4 linked regions of the Oryzias latipes genome follow. The main gene of each other region encodes a partner of the protein of the gene in region 2 in a complex. Links are inferred from orthologs where the notes say so. Each region holds a gene or a part of one and is shown on either strand. Other genes may lie near its edges.

Region 1 (4,989 bases), on a different chromosome or scaffold from region 2:
AGACTGGATGAAGGTGACGGACCACTGAAGACTGGATGAAGGTGACGGACCACTGAAGACTGGATGACGGTGACGGACCACTGAGGACTGGATGAAGGTGACGGACCACTGAAGACTGGATGAAGGTGACGGACCACTGAAGACTGGATGACGGTGACGGACCACTGAGGACTGGATGAAGGTGACGGACCACTGAAGACTGGATGAAGGTGACGGACCACTGAAGACTGGATGAAGGTGACGGACCACTGAAGACTGGATGAAGGTGACGGACCACTGAAGACTGGATGAAGGTGACGGACCACTGAGGACTGGATGAAGGTGACGGACCACTGAGGACTGGATGAAGGTGACGGATCACTGAAGACTGGATGAAGGTGACGGACCACTGAAGACTAGATGAAGGTGACGGACCACTGAAGACTGGATGAAGGTGACGGACCACTGAAGACTGGATGAAGGTGACGGACCACTGAGGACTGGATGAAGGTGACGGACCACTGAGGACTGGATGAAGGTGACGGATCACTGAAGACTGGATGAAGGTGACGGACCACTGAAGACTGGATGAAGGTGACGGACCACTGAAGACTGGATGAAGGTGACGGACCACTGAGGACTGGATGAAGGTGACGGACCACTGAAGACTGGATGAAGGTGACGGACCACTGAAGACTGGATGAAGGTGACGGACCACTGAGGACTGGATGAAGGTGACGGACCACTGAGGACTGGATGAAGGTGACGGACCACTGAAGACTGGATGAAGGTGACGGACCACTGAGGACTGGATGAAGGTGACGGACCACTGAAGACTGGATGAAGGTGAGGGACCACTGAAGACTGGATGAAGGTGACGGACCACTGAAGACTGGATGAAGGTGACGGACCACTGAAGACTGGATGAAGGTGACGGACCACTGAAGACTGGATGAAGGTGACGGACCACTGAGGACTGGATGAAGGTGACGGACCACTGAGGACTGGATGAAGGTGACGGACCACTGAGGACTGGATGAAGGTGACGGACCACTGAGGACTGGATGAAGGTGACGGACCACTGAGGACTGGATGAAGGTGACGGACCACTGAAGACTGGATGAAGGTGACGGACCACTGAAGACTGGTTAATGCCACATTCACTCTACAATAGAAAATGAGTGCATGCAGGCAGGACTAGAGCATTTACTTGGACTATTAATATGTATAGCAGGAAATTAGGTTACTGGTATAAGTTATGTAAATAAACAGGTTTTTTTTCATAATAAAATGTTGAGATATAAAGAGAAAATAGTTTTATTTACAATACTATTTTAGACTACTCAAACTTAGTCTTAATAATTCTTCAGTTAATGTATTTTCTGTGTTTTAAATTGTTTATTTTGTACAGTATTTTAAAAAATAATATTTCTATAACTATAGCTAGTATTGTAACAACCCAGATGGTAAGTCACTATAGCCAAGCTGCTTATTAAGTGGCTACATGAGAGAGCTGACCATGTCCCACACACCACACAACCCTGGATAGTTTCAGAGGGGAAGAAAGAGGCTAAGAAGATAAACCCCTAACCCCCAGGTCGCTACAGTATTTATATAAATTATGTATTAATTTTTCTAATAAATTGTTTGTTCATTTAGTGATTATGGTGTTTCTCGTTTTTTCTTGAGCTGTCGGTGAATTTGTGTGTGAAAACAATGTGATCTGCTGTTCTCTTCCCTGACGGCAGGTGGCAGTAATCAATAGCAATAACTCTCTGAAAGGCGGGAAGAAGAAGAACCGACACGGAAGTGCCTCGTGCTGGAGCGGGAAAGGTAAACATCTGTAAACTCTTGTGGATGTATGTTTTTCTGTGTAAATATTGTCAAATGAAGCGAATAGAAAGCAGAAAAGTCGCTCTGCACATTATTTAACAGAGATTAATTACATTTGATTTCAAACCACAAACCCAATAAGTTAGTTAACGGGTTTCCAAACTGCTAAACACATCCCAGTTTTTTTTTATCTTTGACATTTTGCGAGTTTATGCTGTTTGTGAAACCATATTTTACATTTGTATTTAAATAATGGTGATAACATTCAACTCTCGTGCCTTTTTTGTCATGCAAGCGTCTAGCAGTAGCTTTAAAACACTTTCAGAACATTGACATAGAGAACAAAGAGTAAATCCGTTTAACAACGACTTAGGTTACAAAAGTAAAAAACAACAAAAATTAACTTTAGGTTATTCTTTTAAGCTGAGACAAAGGTTTTTTGTTGCAACTGGGACAAATATTGTTTAATGTCTGGTATATATGAGTAATTAATTCAAACATTTTTTATTAAACTTCAGGCTGGTATTTCCTTCAACACATCCAGCTAATAATCACATTGAGCATAGACAGACACGTGTAGATACAATATTTTATTTCAGATGTATGCTATAAGGAAAAATAGATAGGAAAAGAAAGATGAATGTTTGAAGAGGATTGAGAACAAGTAAAACACTTATAAGTGTCACCCCCCCTAAATACTGCACCCACTACCTATGATAGCCCAGGGGGGTATTCCAGAAAGCAGGTTATGCTAGCTCACACAGTAATGTTGTCTCATATTGTCTCATGTTGTCTCATATTGTCTCATGTTGTCTCATATTGTCTCATATTGTCTCATGTTGTCTCATGTTGTCTCGAGTTGTCTCGTGTTGTCTCATATTGTCTCATATTGTCTCATGTTGTCTCATATTGTCTCATGTTGTCTCATGTTGTCTCATATTGTCTCATATTGTCTCGTGTTGTCTCATGTTGTCTGATGTTGTCTCATGTTGTCTCGTGTTGTCTCATGTTGTCTGATGTTGTCTCATGTTGTCTCATGTTGTCTGATGTTGTCTCATGTTGTCTCGTGTTGTCTCGTGTTGTCTCATATTGTCTCGTGTTGTCTCATATTGTCTCATGTTGTCTCATATTGTCTCATATTGTCTCGTGTTGTCTCGTGTTGTCTCATATTGTCTCGTGTTGTCTCATATTGTCTCATGTTGTCTCATATTGTCTCATATTGTCTCGTGTTGTCTCGTGTTGTCTCGTGTTGTCTCATATTGTCTCATATTGTCTCATGTTGTCTCATATTGTCTCATATTGTCTCGTGTTGTCTCATGTTGTCTGATGTTGTCTCATGTTGTCTCATGTTGTCTGATGTTGTCTCATGTTGTCTCGTGTTGTCTCGTGTTGTCTCATATTGTCTCGTGTTGTCTCATATTGTCTCATATTGTCTCATGTTGTCTCATATTGTCTCATATTGTCTCGTGTTGTCTCGTGTTGTCTCATGTTGTCTCGTGTTGTCTCATGTTGTCTCATATTGTCTCATGTTGTCTGATGTTGTCTCATGTTGTCTCATGTTGTCTGATGTTGTCTGATGTTGTCTCGTGTTGTCTCGTGTTGTCTCATATTGTCTCGTGTTGTCTCATATTGTCTCATATTGTCTCATGTTGTCTCATATTGTCTCATATTGTCTCGTGTTGTCTCATGTTGTCTGATGTTGTCTCATGTTGTCTCGTGTTGTCTCGTGTTGTCTCATATTGTCTCGTGTTGTCTCATATTGTCTCATGTTGTCTCATATTGTCTCATATTGTCTCGTGTTGTCTCGTGTTGTCTCATGTTGTCTCGTGTTGTCTCATGTTGTCTGATGTTGTCTCATGTTGTCTCGTGTTGTCTCATGTTGTCTCATATTGTCTCATATTGTCTCATGTTGTCTGATGTTGTCTGATGTTGTCTGATGTTGTCTCATGTTGTCTCGTGTTGTCTCGTGTTGTCTCATATTGTCTCATGTTGTCTCGTGTTGTCTCGAGTTGTCTCATGTTGTCTCATGTTGTCTCATGTTGTCTCATGTTGTCTCGAGTTGTCTCGTGTTGTCTCGTGTTGTCTCGTGTTGTCTCATATTGTCTCGTGTTGTCTCATATTGTCTCATGTTGTCTCATGTTGTCTCATGTTGTCTCGTGTTGTCTCGTATTGTCTCGTGTTGTCTCATATTGTCTCGTGTTGTCTCATGTTGTCTCATGTTGTCTCGTGTTGTCTCATATTGTCTCGAGTTGTCTCATATTGTCTCATATTGTCTCGTGTTGTCTCGTGTTGTCTCATATTGTCTCGTGTTGTCTCATATTGTCTCATGTTGTCTCATATTGTCTCATATTGTCTCGTGTTGTCTCGTGTTGTCTCGTGTTGTCTCGTGTTGTCTCATATTGTCTCATATTGTCTCATGTTGTCTCATATTGTCTCATATTGTCTCGTGTTGTCTCATGTTGTCTGATGTTGTCTCATGTTGTCTCATGTTGTCTGATGTTGTCTCATGTTGTCTCGTGTTGTCTCGTGTTGTCTCATATTGTCTCGTGTTGTCTCATATTGTCTCATGTTGTCTCATATTGTCTCATATTGTCTCGTGTTGTCTCGTGTTGTCTCATGTTGTCTCGTGTTGTCTCATGTTGTCTCATATTGTCTCATGTTGTCTCATGTTGTCTGATGTTGTCTGATGTTGTCTCGTGTTGTCTCGTGTTGTCTGATGTTGTCTCGTGTTGTCTCGTGTTGTCTCATATTGTCTCGTGTTGTCTCATATTGTCTCATATTGTCTCATGTTGTCTCATATTGTCTCATATTGTCTCGTGTTGTCTCATGTTGTCTCATGTTGTCTCATGTTGTCTGATGTTGTCTCATGTTGTCTCGTGTTGTCTCGTGTTGTCTCATATTGTCTCGTGTTGTCTCATATTGTCTCATGTTGTCTCATATTGTCTCATATTGTCTCGTGTTGTCTCGTGTTGTCTCATGTTGTCTCGTGTTGTCTCATGTTGTCTGATGTTGTCTCATGTTGTCTCGTGTTGTCTCGTGTTGTCTCATATTGTCTCATATTGTCTCATGTTGTCTGATGTTGTCTGATGTTGTCTGATGTTGTCTCATGTTGTCTCGAGTTGTCTCGTGTTGTCTCATATTGTCTCGTGTTGTCTCATATTGTCTCATGTTGTCTCG
Region 2 (3,230 bases):
CATGCAGAAAAGGAGGAAGGCAGTGAAACCTATGGAAGGTTTTTAAACCATCGCTAAAGGCACAAAAACATGGTCTCACCCAGAGTCAACTCGCAGTTTCTTTAGTGTGTTCCAGATGACATCTAAGAACCAAGAGGAGTAAACTTTAATGTCTTTACTGAGCAAAACAAACAGAACTAAAACAGTTAATGGAATTGACTGAATAAGGAACAAAACTATAGTTAAAACCTGTTAAACTCACTTTCTCTGACGACACCTCCCTTCATGAAAGTAACACCCAGAATCACGAAAAGTAGACCAAGTTTGGGATTTGCAGGGCATCTACACACACAGAAAAACAACAATAAACCTCATTTATGGACCATTCAAATGAGCGTTTCTCAAAATGACACGATACTCACTCGACTGGTGAAGGTTTGTCAGCGGCTTCCAGGTTATTGATCAATATATATGTGTGATTTTTGGGGTCAATTTCAACCAGTTTCAAACCAAACACCTGAGCAAGAGTTAAAAAAAGAAGAACCTCACAAATGTGATCTACTGAGACAATAAATGAAGACAAGAATGCAGTCAGGTAGAACAAACCTGCTCAAAGGTCCGAGCTGCTCGCTTTATGATCTCAGGATAGATGTTTCTGTAGTCCTTCACCACGTGTTTCACAAGGTCTGAGAAGACATTAGCAGGCAGTGAGTCACCTCTGCAGCTGTCGCATGTTCAAACTCCCTATCCACTGCTCTAGATGCAGTGGCGGCGTGCTTTCCACCACTGCGTCCGACGCTTTGCTTTGCACTCGGTGACGTTGGCTTGGATGCAGCTGCTCGGCCATGGAAACCCCTTCCATGAAGCTCTCTGCGTGCTGGACTTGGGCTAACATGAAGCTCCTGGGAGCAGCCCGTTCTTTCACAAACGTTAGCACAAACAGTCTGCATGCATGAGGGCCTGATTTGATACACCTGTGTTCAGGGCAAGTGATTAGGACACCTGATTCTGATCATTTGGACGGGGGAGCCAGTACTTTTGGTAATATAGTACATGTCTTCATCACCAGTTACATCGTGAAGTGAAGCTTTAACTCTCATGGAAAGTTTACCAAAATGCTTTGCTGCTGCTCCGCCCCTTCAAATAGGGAGGTGGAACTTAGATGAAAGGTTGGTCCTCCATGAAGAGGCGTGACAACAGTCTGCTGCTCTAAGCTTCAACAAACATTTGATACCCTAACGGGTGTTCAACTTCAACATTACAGAATGTTTCAAACAGGTTTAAAGACAATGTTCACATTTGAAATGTAAGCATCTATGTACTGTATGTAATTCATTTCTTGTGATTGAAGTTGAAGGCACAGATCCCGACCGTCTGGGACTCCTTCAGCCTGGATCCCAAGACATGTCTGTTACTTTTCAGCATGTTTTCTTTTACACTCGTTTCTATCTTTGAAGGACCGTTCCAGCCGCTGAGAGAAATCAATGTTAACAACCACCAACACACTGAACTTCAGCTTCCTGTTGACTCCATGTTGTCCTCTGTCGTGTTCTGGGTTCATTTCCTGCAGCTGACACGATTTTACTAGTCTGATGAATTTGAGGAAGACCTAGTGTTTGGAGACCTTCTCCTACTTTAGTCAATGGGAAGTTAAAGACCCACTCCAATGAAAATGATGCTTTTGGTGTATTTAACATGTTCTTGTAGCAGTTCTCTCTTGATGGAGGACATATAGAAAGAAAGTTAAGTCTAAAAATGTGTCTCTGCGTAATTCTTTAATGGAATTGTGGTGAAGCAGAAAAAAACAATACTGTGGTTGTCTCATACAAACTACAATCAGGGGGCCACAAGCTCCCTGCCCCTTTCTGATTCATCCACTTACATACAAATAGATCCATTCATGAACTGTATGACTGGACAGCTACAACATTGCTCACCATTTTTGTTGCACCGCTAATGTTAGGTTGGGGTTGTGAGGGGTTGAGAGTGTAAACATAGGGATGATGGGACATGAAGGAATCTCACAGTCCCGCCCACAACTCAGAGGTAATGAACTCTGCTCTGCAGAAACTGTGTCCTAGAAAGCGACACAGGTTGTTGGATTTTGCCTGAAAAAGCATCATCCTAATTAAAAGACCAGTGGGAACGCTTTGACAACAGTGGAACTTTAACCAAGTCTCCTCTCAAAAGACTGCATGCGCTTCCTTGTCTTGACTGTAGGGAACCATGTTACCTGTTCACTAACAACAACTTTAAGTCACCAGTTTAATTAACAAACTCATAATTGCACTGTGAACTTTTCTTAAAACATCTCCAATTCTCTTACATCAATTCATTCTACAATCAGTATTTATAAAGCGCACACATTTTGTGATAAATACGAAAGCTTTTTAAGCAAACTAGATCCTACAAATATAATGTTACACAAAACAATGAGAACAAAAGCTAAATAACACAAAGCAAACTAAATTTAATTAGGCCTGGATATAAATCAGTCCTAAACGCCTTCCTGTGGTTCAAAATGTGGCGGTCAGAGTTTTGATGAAGACCTGGAAGAAATAAAAACACACATTCCCATTCGTCCTATTGTCCTGTCATGCATTAAATCTGCATTTTCCCACAGTGCCCTGTGCTCTCTTCCTTCCTGTTCACTTTGTACGCCAGTGACTTCCAGTACAACTCAGAGTCAGGCCATCTTCAGAAATTCTCTGATGACTCCGCGGTTGTCGGCTGCATTAATGGTGGGCAGGAGGAGGAGTACAGGGGACTTGTGGATGAATTCCTGAGGTGGGCTGGAGAAAACCACCTGCTGCTCAATGTGGAAAAGACCAGAGAGATGGTGGTGGACTTCAGGAAGAAACTTCCAGCTTCCCAGCCTCTCAGCATCTTTGGCAGAGAGGTGGCAGAGGTAGAGGAGTACAAGTACTTGGGAGTAATCATCGACAACAGACTGAGCTGGAAGAGCAACAGCACTGCTGTGTATAAGAAGGCCAGCAGCAGACTCCACTTCCTGAGGAGGCTGAGGTCCTTCAACGTGTGCAGCAAGATGCTTGAAATATTCTACCAGTCTGTTGTGGTCAGCACTCTGTTCTTCTCCGTTGTCTGCTGCTGGGGGGGGCAGCATAGCTGCTAGGGACAGCAATAGACTGAACAAAATGATTAGAGGCGCTGGCTCTGTAGTCTGATGTAAAATGGACACGTTTGAAGCTGTGATGGAGAGGAGGACTTTAAACAAGCTGGTATCCATCATG
Region 3 (5,027 bases), about 20 Mb from region 2:
CAAAACTATCTAATGTTTGGACTTTTTCATTTTAAACAAATTTAAAGTGAAAAAACAGAAAACATAACAGCCACAACACAAAATATAAATTTAAATGTGCAAAACAAGAAAAACAAGATTTTAATCATTCATAGTGAAAGTTGGCATTTAAAATGCCTAAGTGTCTCAGTTTCAGTCAGTGATGATGTGCTCTGGTTTTAAGATTCTCTCAGTTCTCAGGTGCGGGTTGCATTTAGAGCCGGTTATAGATGGAATTCTTTTCTTGCTCTTGATTCTCCATGTTTTGCTTGCTTTCCTGTTGTCAGACTCATTACTACTCTCTCAACGGCAAAGCCACAAACACAGAATGAGTTATGTCTCTCTTTAAGAACGGGCATGTTCATAGGCTGCTCTGAATTCAAAACTGCTGCGAATGGTGGAGAAGTGATGAAATGGAGATTTATTTGGAAAGTCACCTGATCAAATGCAACTATTATTTATTATAGTATTTATTAAGTATAATAAATACCTCTCTAGAAACAAGTTATGTGCCACAGTCTTTTAAATATGTAGTTGTGAAACCTATTCTAAAAAAGCTCAATTTAGATCCCGGCAATCTGGCCTGCAATAGTCCAATATCAAATCTCCCCTTTATAATAAAGTAAAGAAGAAAAAAAATCTCCCCTTTGTTTCAAAAATCATAGAATGAGTGGTAGTTAAGCAGCTTTACCGCCACCTACAGGACAATAGTCAATTTGAAGATTTTCAGTCAGGGTTCAAACTACACCACAACACTGAAATTGCACTATATAGAGTCTCTAATGACTTATTATTGGCCTCAGAAAAGGAACTACTGTCTATTCTGGTCCTGTTAGACCTCAGTGCAGGCTTTGACACTATCAACCACAGTATTTTACTCCAAAGATTAGAGTATGACATAGAGATCAGAGGATTTGCCCTCCAGTGGTTTGAATCCTATTTATTCGATAGGGACCAGTTTGTTAATGTAAATGGACAGTCCTCTCATGGAACTCGAGTTAGCTACGGAGTCCCACAGGGCTCAGTTCTAGGACCCTTCCCCTTTATGCTTTATACGCTGCCCACTATTGATTGTCACTGTTATGCGGATCATACACAGTTGTATTTATTTGGAGGTAGAGCCTTTAGCCATCAAGCCCCTGTTCTATGGGATAAGCTCCCAGTTCATGTAAGAGAGGCCAACACAGTTTCTACATTCCAAGTTAGGCTTAAAACATTCCTCTTTATTTCCAGGCAAGTAATAGAGAATATTTATCTTATTATTAACATGTTTGAATTAAACTTAAAAACAACAACAATTAGTTGCTGGTGGGCTGCTCCAGATCCTGCACCACACACACTTCAAGACATAATCTGATCCCATTGCAACAACAAAAATAGTTGTCTTTTACAAATATCTTTTTAAAATTGTGTTTATTTATTAATTTAACAGGGTTAAATAAAAAATAAAAAAACAGTGCCCTTTTTTGGGGCTTGGAGGAGGTTGCACTAGTATAAAATTAATAACTGTGAGAGAGTTTGTTTAATGTAAACAGTTTAAATATGTACAGGTGTTTCTATTTAGTACAGAATGTTTCAAATACTGGTTACTTTATTTCTCAGTATAAAAGAGTAAAACATTTTTTTGGGGGGGGGTGGGGCACTGTTTAGAATCTTACGTCATCAAATGTGGACACACGTGACCTATCTTCACCAATCATCTTTCAGCTTTGCCTCGGGAAAGCGCGGCAGGGCAAACTGTTCTTCCCATCACTAGTATATCAGTGTCTGTTGACATGGCTGAGCCTAGTAAGAAGCAGCGGCTCAGCCACCATAACAACAGTTCACAGACTCCTTCCAAGGCCTTCTATAAGACCAGGGATGTCGATGAAGCTCATCCGTTTGTGGAGGGCTCCATTCTGCGCATCACCATGAAAAACTTCCTGTAAGTTCCACCTCCTTTTCACTAGTCACACTAGTTAAGCTAGCTATGCTAACGCCAAACTACCGTAAAAGCTTAGCCTCTACATTTGCTCTGACAAGCTGACATATGATATGTTTTACTGAAGCGTGTTTTGGTTTACCGATGTTGTAGAAGAGGAATAAAGTCAGTAAGCTGGGCTGTTTTTGCTCCGTTAACGTAGAACTCATCAGTTGTGTATGTTATGTATTTTAATTCTAAACGACTTCAACTTTAGAAAAATGAAAACTCTTTTGTCAGGTTCGGATATGATGTAGTCTACCAGTAATTGTTATTCTTACGTCTTTAAACTCAAATGTATTTTTTCGTCTTTTTTTAATTTACAAAATTTGGAAAATATTAAAAGCAAAGAGCCAATGTCACATTTGTGTCTGAGAGTTTGACAACCCAAAACTGAAAGTGCCAATTTAATGTCATCTGAATTATTTTCAGTGATGTTAACTGAAATCTTCCAACATCCTTAAATTGTCATAATATTCAATAAAGGGAAAAAAACATCACATGATTTGCAACAAGAATGACAGAATCTACAGAATAGATGAAAAGTGCATTAATATAGTGTAAAACACAGTTCTCTACACTTCATTGCATTTCTGCATCATCTTTGAACAGTATTAGAAAATGTGAGATTCAGTCTTCAGTAACATTCAGTGTACTAGTGTCAAGCATGAGTTTTACAGTTCCACAAACCACATAAACAGGTTTCTACGAGTACCTTTATGTATGTTTATTGTGTTAAAATCGCGTTGTGTGTCACTGTGCTTTAATCTTCTTCTCGTATCATTAATTTAATTGAATTGTTGAAAAACAGATAAAACCCGTAATGTTGATGTTTTTTGTTTGAAGAATTAAAGTGTGACTTTCCTGCATGTGGCTGGAAAATGACCGGTGTCTTCGCTGTACTTTGGCAGGACCTATGACTACTCTGTGGTGTGTCCTGGACCAAATCTGAACATGATTGTTGGTGCAAATGGAACTGGCAAGTCCAGCATTGTTTGTGCCATCTGTCTGGGCCTGGCTGGAAAGACCGCTGTTCTGGGGAGAGGAGATAAGGTAAATGTACTGTTGGGATTTATTTAGTTGAAGTGTGTTGATGAGATTCTCTATAAAAGATCAGAGTAACTGGTAGATTTTGACAGAAGCCTTAACCTTGAACAGTTCAGCAATGTTGCATCCCATGACTCACTTAAACTTTGGCCAAATATTTACTTGTTGTGAGGAAACTGATCATTCTAAACAGGACTGTAGATAAAAATAAGGTTAAGGTCGTACCCTTCAGTTTGCTGCACACAGAAACGAATGAATAATGACTCAGAGACAAAACTTATCTTTTGTGGAAGTTTTACTTCGTACAAACACGAAGGGGACAGACAGATGAATATAGTGCATTCAAAGTCTGAACACCGAAGCTCAGAGAGATGGTCTTGGTATAAGAACCCTGCATTTGCATATTCAGAAGATCATACACTGGACAGTGGTGTGAAAATCACGGCCACAGGTTGTTGCAGGCGAGATGCTCGAAGGTCAAGAAGCTTCAAGTGTCACAAACAGCACAAACACCAGCACACACAAAAAGGAAAAAGGGAGGATGAGGAATGCTATGAGAAAACAGTCTTGGTTGTGCTTTCTTCAAATGTAATATAATTTTGAGATGATAATACATGCTTAGTGACTTAAGTTTAAACCATTAGTGTAATAAAAGTTAAAGGCAGTTTCTAACTATTCTTCACACTTGTCCTTATCAATTAAATATGCTTCCAACTTATGTTTGTTATAGATTTTAAGTTCACTCAAATACAACAGGGACATTACAGAAATAAAACGAAATGGCACATAGACGTTTTTTACCCCTTATTTTGAGTTCAATGATACAAACAAAGCAAAAACATGTACCGGTAGGACAAACCTAAACCTATAAATCACTTAACAAACAAGGGGGTGTTGCAATGTTCAATACACAGAAAAGGACAAAAAGGGAAAAAAGGAGAGAAAAAAGCACAGAAATGTATACATTTTTGGAAAAAAGTTAGAATTGCTGCAAGGACTTTAAACAGGTTTGACTTCCTTTACCTTTTTTTCAGGTTGGGCTTTATGTGAAGCGTGGCTGCCATAAAGGGTCCATTGAGATTGAATTGTAAGTTATGTGAAATAATTTCCACAAAGTCACTCATTCTTTTAAAAACAGACATTTCAGCCACAGTTGTTTTATAGAAAAAGCTTACAGCTCCTTAACATTGGTGCCCTTAAACATACTTATTTTTTGTAACTGTCTCTGTTCTGTTGTTGAAGGTACAAAACAGGAGGTAACATAGTCATTAACAGGGAGATCCATGTGGAAAATAATCAGTCCCTTTGGATGCTGAATGGGAAACACTGCAACCAGAAAACGGTAGAAGAGGAGGTCAAGGCTCTGCAAATTCAAGTCGGCAACCTCTGCCAGTTTCTTCCTCAGGTATGTGTTTGTGAAAGTGCCAAGGGTTTAATAGACAGAAAACTGCTCAAGTTCCTTCATGTTGTGTTTTTCCCAACAGGAAAAAGTTGGTGAGTTTGCCAAAATGTCTAAGATCGAGTTGTTGGAGGCAACTGAGAAGTCTGTGGGACCCCCAGAGATGTACGAGTACCACTGTGAGCTCAAAAACTTCCGCAACAAGGAAAGAGAATTGGAGGTAATAGTTAAAGCTTTATGGTTTATTTTTTGTACTTTTGTTTTCTGGGTTTTGAGCAAAACTGTTTTCTGAGGGTTTCGTCGGTTTTTGAGATTCTAATATTTCATTGTAGAATGTTGTAAAGGAGAAGGCAAACTTCTTGGAGAAGGCCAAACAACGAAATGAGAGGTACAAGCATGATGTCAACCGTTATTATGAAAAGAAGAGACATCTGGATGTCATTGAGCTTCTGGAGAAGAAGAAACCATGGGTTGTAAGTGTGTCACTTTGGTTTAACAAGAAGGAGACAAACAAACAAACAAACAAACGGGGCATCTTTCCTGTTTCTGTTTCCTCCTGGCAACAGGAGTACGAGACTACCCGTAAGGAACTTGAGGGTGTCA
Region 4 (4,846 bases), on a different chromosome or scaffold from region 2:
CCGTGTTCTCTGCTGATTTCTGATTGGCTAAGAACACAAGCATCTCATTTGTAAACCTTCATTTGTTGCACAAAACCCTTAAAAAGTCGGCAGGAAAATACGCAGGTAAATGCCAGAATGTAGCTAAAGAGCAACATATTTTGCTTTCCAAATAAATAAACCCTCCATCCACAAAATCTTACATTTAAAAGTGTGCAACAGAGACATTCAAGACATCCACCTACACATAAATCTTTTTTTTTTTTTTCATTTTATAGATCATTTTCACAACAAATTCGGCTTCATTGTGGCCTGTAAATGCTGCCGGCTGAAATTATCTTCAAGGATTATGCAAATGAATGCAAATTATTGCTATTTTTAAACATTTATTTCAATATGCAACCTTTATTGATGTCTTCAGAAAAATAGACACAAACATTAGCCGCGGTTACATGTACAAAATGTTTTGATCGGATTCGAATTCAACCGTGTACATGGGCCCAGAAAAACTTTTTCCGATTATAATAAATGTTTACATGCGCCAGATGATCTTCTAAACGTGCTTTTATTATTGTTATGATTATTATGAAGCGCCTGCTTGCTCATTATTTATTTTTAATCTTTGTGGTCAGCTCTTTTTTTTCTGGGAGAACGGACCCGGAAGACGTTAGCGTTAGGAGTAGAAGGCTAACATGCGCTAACAACATTTAGCCTTGGATGAACATAAAATCCATGGGGGAAACGCCGCAATCTGCATCTTGGCTACATGTAAATATGTGGGAATAACATCAGCCTTTATTTTGTCGGGACACGAATGGAAACACAAATCCACGTGATTGTTTGAACGGTTTCTAAGGACTGAGCGACATTTCTGCTTTAAGCACACACCGCCCCAAAGCCGCTGTGTGCTCTGCTCGAAGACACAGTTCTACTGGGAGACCCGGCTCTCCTGAGTTTAGCAGCTCGTTCACCTAGAGCTGCAGTCCAAAGCCTCCCACTCATAGCACACACGTTACAAAGCACCCTCTCCTCCCCTCAAACACAAAGCTATAAGTCTGGCTTCTCTGCTCAGAGACACGGTTCACTCGATCCGATCAACAATCGGCATAACCCACCTATCTCGATTGGAAAGAAATTTTGATCAGAACAAGTCTGATCGGGGCAGAGTATTCCGAACGGCGTGTTTACATGACACATTTTTCTTCCGATCAGGTGTTCTTTCCAATTACTTTTGTCCATATAAACGCAGCTAGTAAGATAAACACAGATTTTGAAAAATGTTTTGAGTCAATAAATTGGAAAATTATGCAGTTTATACTTGTTGCATCTTAATATAAAAATGATGGGTGGAAAGGTGTGGATTTTACATGGTCTATTGCACTTTGTTTCATAAATGTCTCGAATTCTGCACTTGTGAAGCATGTCCCATTGTCTGATACCAACATCTTTGGAGGACCAAACACACTGAAACTCTGTCGCAATTTTTCAATGGTGATTTGTGAAGTAGCTGATTTCACCGAATAAATGGTTTTAGGTCATAATGGTTCTTCATCAGTAATACAAGCTCATTGAAGGACTTGTCTTTTGGCTTGTCTGGGCTGAGGAGGTTCGCATAAACTGTAGGTCGGTGCTCCAACTACACTTATCAACATTGCCTTTTGTCTGTCTTGATTGTCTATTTCATTGGCCGCAAAAAACTGTTCAAGTATTTCTGTATACTTAACCCAAGTTTGAGTCTTTGGATCAAACGCTGCTGGCGTGCCAATTGTTGCCATGCTTCACTTCTGTGGGAGGTTAACCACGTATCTTTCTGCTGCTTCTTTCTTCTTTTCTTTCTCTCTCTTTTTCTAAGGTCTATGGGCTTTTCTCCTCCTTAAAAATCCTCTTCACCAAAAAGATGTTGCATCTTCATATAAAAATGAAGGTCCCACACATTGAACTGGGTGCAACAGTTTTTCATTTGCATAACAGAACCTTTCTGAACAGTGGATGCTGTCCACCATGGTTCCTGACTTCTTCGTCTGTCACCACACGGCGCTACAACTCAATGAAACTTGTAGGCTTGCCCTCTGGTGGCCACTTACCTAATTACAATACAATATTAAACCAACAATCTTCTCAAATTCAACATACCACATTACTAAAAAATAAAAAAATAAATAAAAAAAGTAAGATGCGCTTTCAAACAATGCCTCAGAAATCAGTGAAATTATTTTATAGAGATATAAAAAAAAATTCAACAGCCTTACTTTGTTTTGAAGCGTTCCCGATGCTGTCCTTAAAGGCAGCCACTTTCTGATGGCTGTGGATTTCATCATCAGAAAGTCGGGCTATTCTCTCTGAGAACTGCTCCTTCACTTTGTCAGAAAGGCCGAACAAGGCCTCTGGTTGCTGTGCATTCACCTGCACCAAAGTGAGGCATATTAGATCATTTCTTTTTAGACTTATAAAAATGAGTCTGCGCTTTACAAACACGGATCTAATCAAAGCACAAACAAGCAAAAATAGGGACAGATAACGCTGCAGTAAATGACCTAAATGAATTATTGTTTTTAAACCTGATCCTCATCATAATAGTTACCTCGGATGTAACTTCTTTTGCGATGTCTACAAAGATGTTAATCTCCCTGTCCAGCTTGGCACAGTCCAGGATCATGGTCTCCAGCTCTTTGATGGAAGAGTTCATCTCTTCATCTGAAATGTAAAAAATATACACAAATATAAACTCAATTATTACAAAATATAAGTGCACGCTGAATGGAGCTTGGTCACATGTTTAGCATAATTGCGATAAAACACCATGTTCTTGGACTGCTTCACTATACTAACTGATCCTAGAAGAATAAAACCCATTTCTGATCACGTTTGCAGAAAATGATGCAGGCTCCGAATGTTTACCCTGAGATTCCACCACATCTATGGCAACGTCCGTCACGATGTCCATCCCCGTCGCAATGTCTGCCAAACACGATTTTAAATTGGACAATGCGCCGTTGACAGCACTCAGAGACATTGTGTTCGTAACTTTTATCCCTAAAGTCCAAAGAAAAATCACTGTGTGTTCACCGTTATTGATATCTTCCTTATGTTAACGGCTAGCTAGCTAACTGCTAGCCTTATACTCGCGCCGTCTTGCGAAAAGATGAGATATGCCAATGTATCTCAAAATAGAAAAAAAAACAAAAAAGATAAGTAACTATTCTTAATTCAAAGTACAACCAAAGATCAAACGATAACAAAAAAATAAGAAGGAAAAGGAAGAAAAGTAGTAAACATTTGAGATGAACGGAAGTTACAGTTTCACTTCCGTTTGTTTCTTCAAACTAAAAGCCATCAAATAAATTCATAAAGAAAACAACGAGCAGTAAAGAATTATACTGTATTTATTGATAAACAATACCACAAAATATTAGTATGGAAATGTTTTTGATTGAGCATTAAATGTACAGTTTATTAATACAAAACTTTATTGTTCTAGAAAATGAAATATGAACTACTTCTTGAAGCTTTTTTACATTTGACATTGTGGCCTTTTCTGGTTGAAATAAAAATGTATTTTTAACAAAACACATTTTGTTATAACATTGCAGAAACAGATTATAAGGCTGGGCATGAAATGTATATGGGGGGAAAAAAAGCACATCCTAATTTCTGAACAATTAATTAGAGCAAAATGATTGTTGCTTCTACCACAAAAATCTTTGCCACTAGATCAAGACTAATATAAACAAAGAAAAGTACAGTACAAACAAAGACTGCATCTTCAGTTTGATGTCCTTGTCCGGGGGCTCACAAAATAGTTCTGAATTCGTCAAAAATGAAACTGGGTACATGAGCTTCAACCACCTTAAAACAGATAGATAATAAAAAGAAATGCATGTTAACAATCCTTCAAGTTTGTAAAAACAAGCTGTCTTAGCATGACATAGCAATTCTTTTTCTTCCAGATACCTTTAAAATAAACCACCTCTAAAGTAACTGTTTTCTTACCTTGCGTGACAGTTTTGTGTATTTTACATAGTCTTCAAGGAACATCAGGGCCCCCACAACATCAGAGGGCATTTCAGGGATTTTCTGGCTGTGACACCAGTAAAAGACAAATTTAAGAAAACTGCAAACAATGGGTTTGATCAAAATGTTAAACTTTTAGTTACCTTGTGCACTGCTCCATAACAGAGCGGATGAACTGTCCAAGCAGAGCAAGGAAGTGCTGTGTGTATCTGGAGTGGAACTGCTTGAGCAGGGTGAGCAGACCCAGCACTAGTGGGGGCCAGTCGACAGGATCGGTTGCTTTCTTGCAGGTCATTCCTTTTACACAGAGAAAATCCTTAACTTGGCGTGTACACAGAAAAAGTCACCACAGAAATTCACAGATTCCAATCCATCAAGCTAAGATAGCGAGAAGTGAAACGCACCTTGATTTTTGTTGTACTGAAGTTTAGGCAGCTGAGCAATGATAAACAGGAGGTTGATGATGGGGAAGTAAGGAAGACGCTTTGTGGTGATGTAAATCTGTTTGAACCAAAAAGAAATAAACATTGTTTACTGGTGAAATGTGGCATTTTTAACAGGCTAATTAAAATAAAATAAAACCTTGCAAACCTTGCTGAGCGGGTTATGAATTCCAGCAGCTTCTAGGTAGGCAGTGATCTCATACAATAGAGTGTTTTCTTCTTTAGGATAAGGGAGAGATGGATCCTGGTAGTGTGCTTCTATGTCTGCCAGAAGAGACCTAACAAGAAGAAGAGATCACAACAGGTGGCAAAATGTAGCCTTAAGCTCACAAAAACACAATATGCTATAGTAACAAATGTTATCAGTTGTTAGAAATGAATGTATTCTAAAAAAAAAAAAAAGTGAGAAACAC

Evidence for each region. Proteins that work in one complex are often made in the same cells at the same time.
Region 1: the proteins of non-structural maintenance of chromosomes element 3 homolog (region 2) and nsmce1 are in contact, whole or in part, in a crystal structure (PDB 7DG2), measured with the Xenopus laevis proteins. The link is inferred for Oryzias latipes from reciprocal best matches to the Homo sapiens genes NSMCE3 and NSMCE1. Residues at the interface, in XP_018121157.1 of Xenopus laevis: Gly57, Glu58, Val60, Gln61, Tyr62, Leu64, Ile65, Lys66, Gln68, Lys69, Val82, Thr100, Gln102, Gln103, Val104, Phe105, Gly106, Phe107, Asn123, Leu125, Gln126, Arg127, Val128, Gly130, Asp131, Gly132, Met133, Arg134, Asp136, Glu137; in NP_001083134.1 of Xenopus laevis: Ile5, Glu7, Gln10, Arg11, Leu13, Gln14, Ala15, Met17, Ser18, His19, Leu30, His33, Leu37, His38, Leu54, His57, Leu58, Pro60, Leu61, Phe62, Met63, Val84, Asn86, Ile88, Thr89, Met91, Ala92, Ser93, Asp94, Gln149.
Region 3: non-structural maintenance of chromosomes element 3 homolog (region 2) and smc5 share a complex: the UniProt entries of both Homo sapiens proteins name them as parts of the SMC5-SMC6 complex. The link is inferred for Oryzias latipes from reciprocal best matches to the Homo sapiens genes NSMCE3 and SMC5.
Region 4: non-structural maintenance of chromosomes element 3 homolog (region 2) and nsmce2 share a complex: the UniProt entries of both Homo sapiens proteins name them as parts of the SMC5-SMC6 complex. The link is inferred for Oryzias latipes from reciprocal best matches to the Homo sapiens genes NSMCE3 and NSMCE2.

The regions. Positions count from the first base shown.
Region 1 is NC_019859.2:37,084,300-37,089,288, reverse strand, and holds the start of nsmce1 (non-structural maintenance of chromosomes element 1 homolog), read left to right. Parts: upstream 1-1,701; 5' UTR 1,702-1,812; intron 1,813-4,989. UniProt on the Homo sapiens protein: RING-type zinc finger-containing E3 ubiquitin ligase that assembles with melanoma antigen protein (MAGE) to catalyze the direct transfer of ubiquitin from E2 ubiquitin-conjugating enzyme to a specific substrate.
Region 2 is NC_019865.2:30,993,180-30,996,409, forward strand, and holds part of non-structural maintenance of chromosomes element 3 homolog, read right to left. Parts: intron 666-3,230; coding exon 586-665; intron 497-585; coding exon 402-496; intron 322-401; coding exon 242-321; intron 123-241; coding exon 80-122; intron 1-79. UniProt on the Homo sapiens protein: Component of the SMC5-SMC6 complex, a complex involved in repair of DNA double-strand breaks by homologous recombination. The complex may promote sister chromatid homologous recombination by recruiting the SMC1-SMC3 cohesin complex to double-strand breaks.
Region 3 is NC_019865.2:11,201,073-11,206,099, reverse strand, and holds the start of smc5 (structural maintenance of chromosomes protein 5), read left to right. Parts: upstream 1-1,739; 5' UTR 1,740-1,793; coding exon 1,794-1,942; intron 1,943-2,889; coding exon 2,890-3,031; intron 3,032-4,059; coding exon 4,060-4,112; intron 4,113-4,267; coding exon 4,268-4,430; intron 4,431-4,509; coding exon 4,510-4,644; intron 4,645-4,756; coding exon 4,757-4,897; intron 4,898-4,990; coding exon 4,991-5,027. UniProt on the Homo sapiens protein: Core component of the SMC5-SMC6 complex, a complex involved in repair of DNA double-strand breaks by homologous recombination.
Region 4 is NC_019874.2:13,948,128-13,952,973, reverse strand, and holds the start of nsmce2 (E3 SUMO-protein ligase NSE2), read right to left. Parts: upstream 3,289-4,846; 5' UTR 2,993-3,288; coding exon 2,878-2,992; intron 2,674-2,877; coding exon 2,561-2,673; intron 2,383-2,560; coding exon 2,229-2,382; intron 28-2,228; coding exon 1-27. Other genes in the region: washc5 (WASH complex subunit 5), read right to left, coding at 3,769-3,825, 3,970-4,057, 4,134-4,287, 4,395-4,491, 4,582-4,711. UniProt on the Homo sapiens protein: E3 SUMO-protein ligase component of the SMC5-SMC6 complex, a complex involved in DNA double-strand break repair by homologous recombination. Is not be required for the stability of the complex.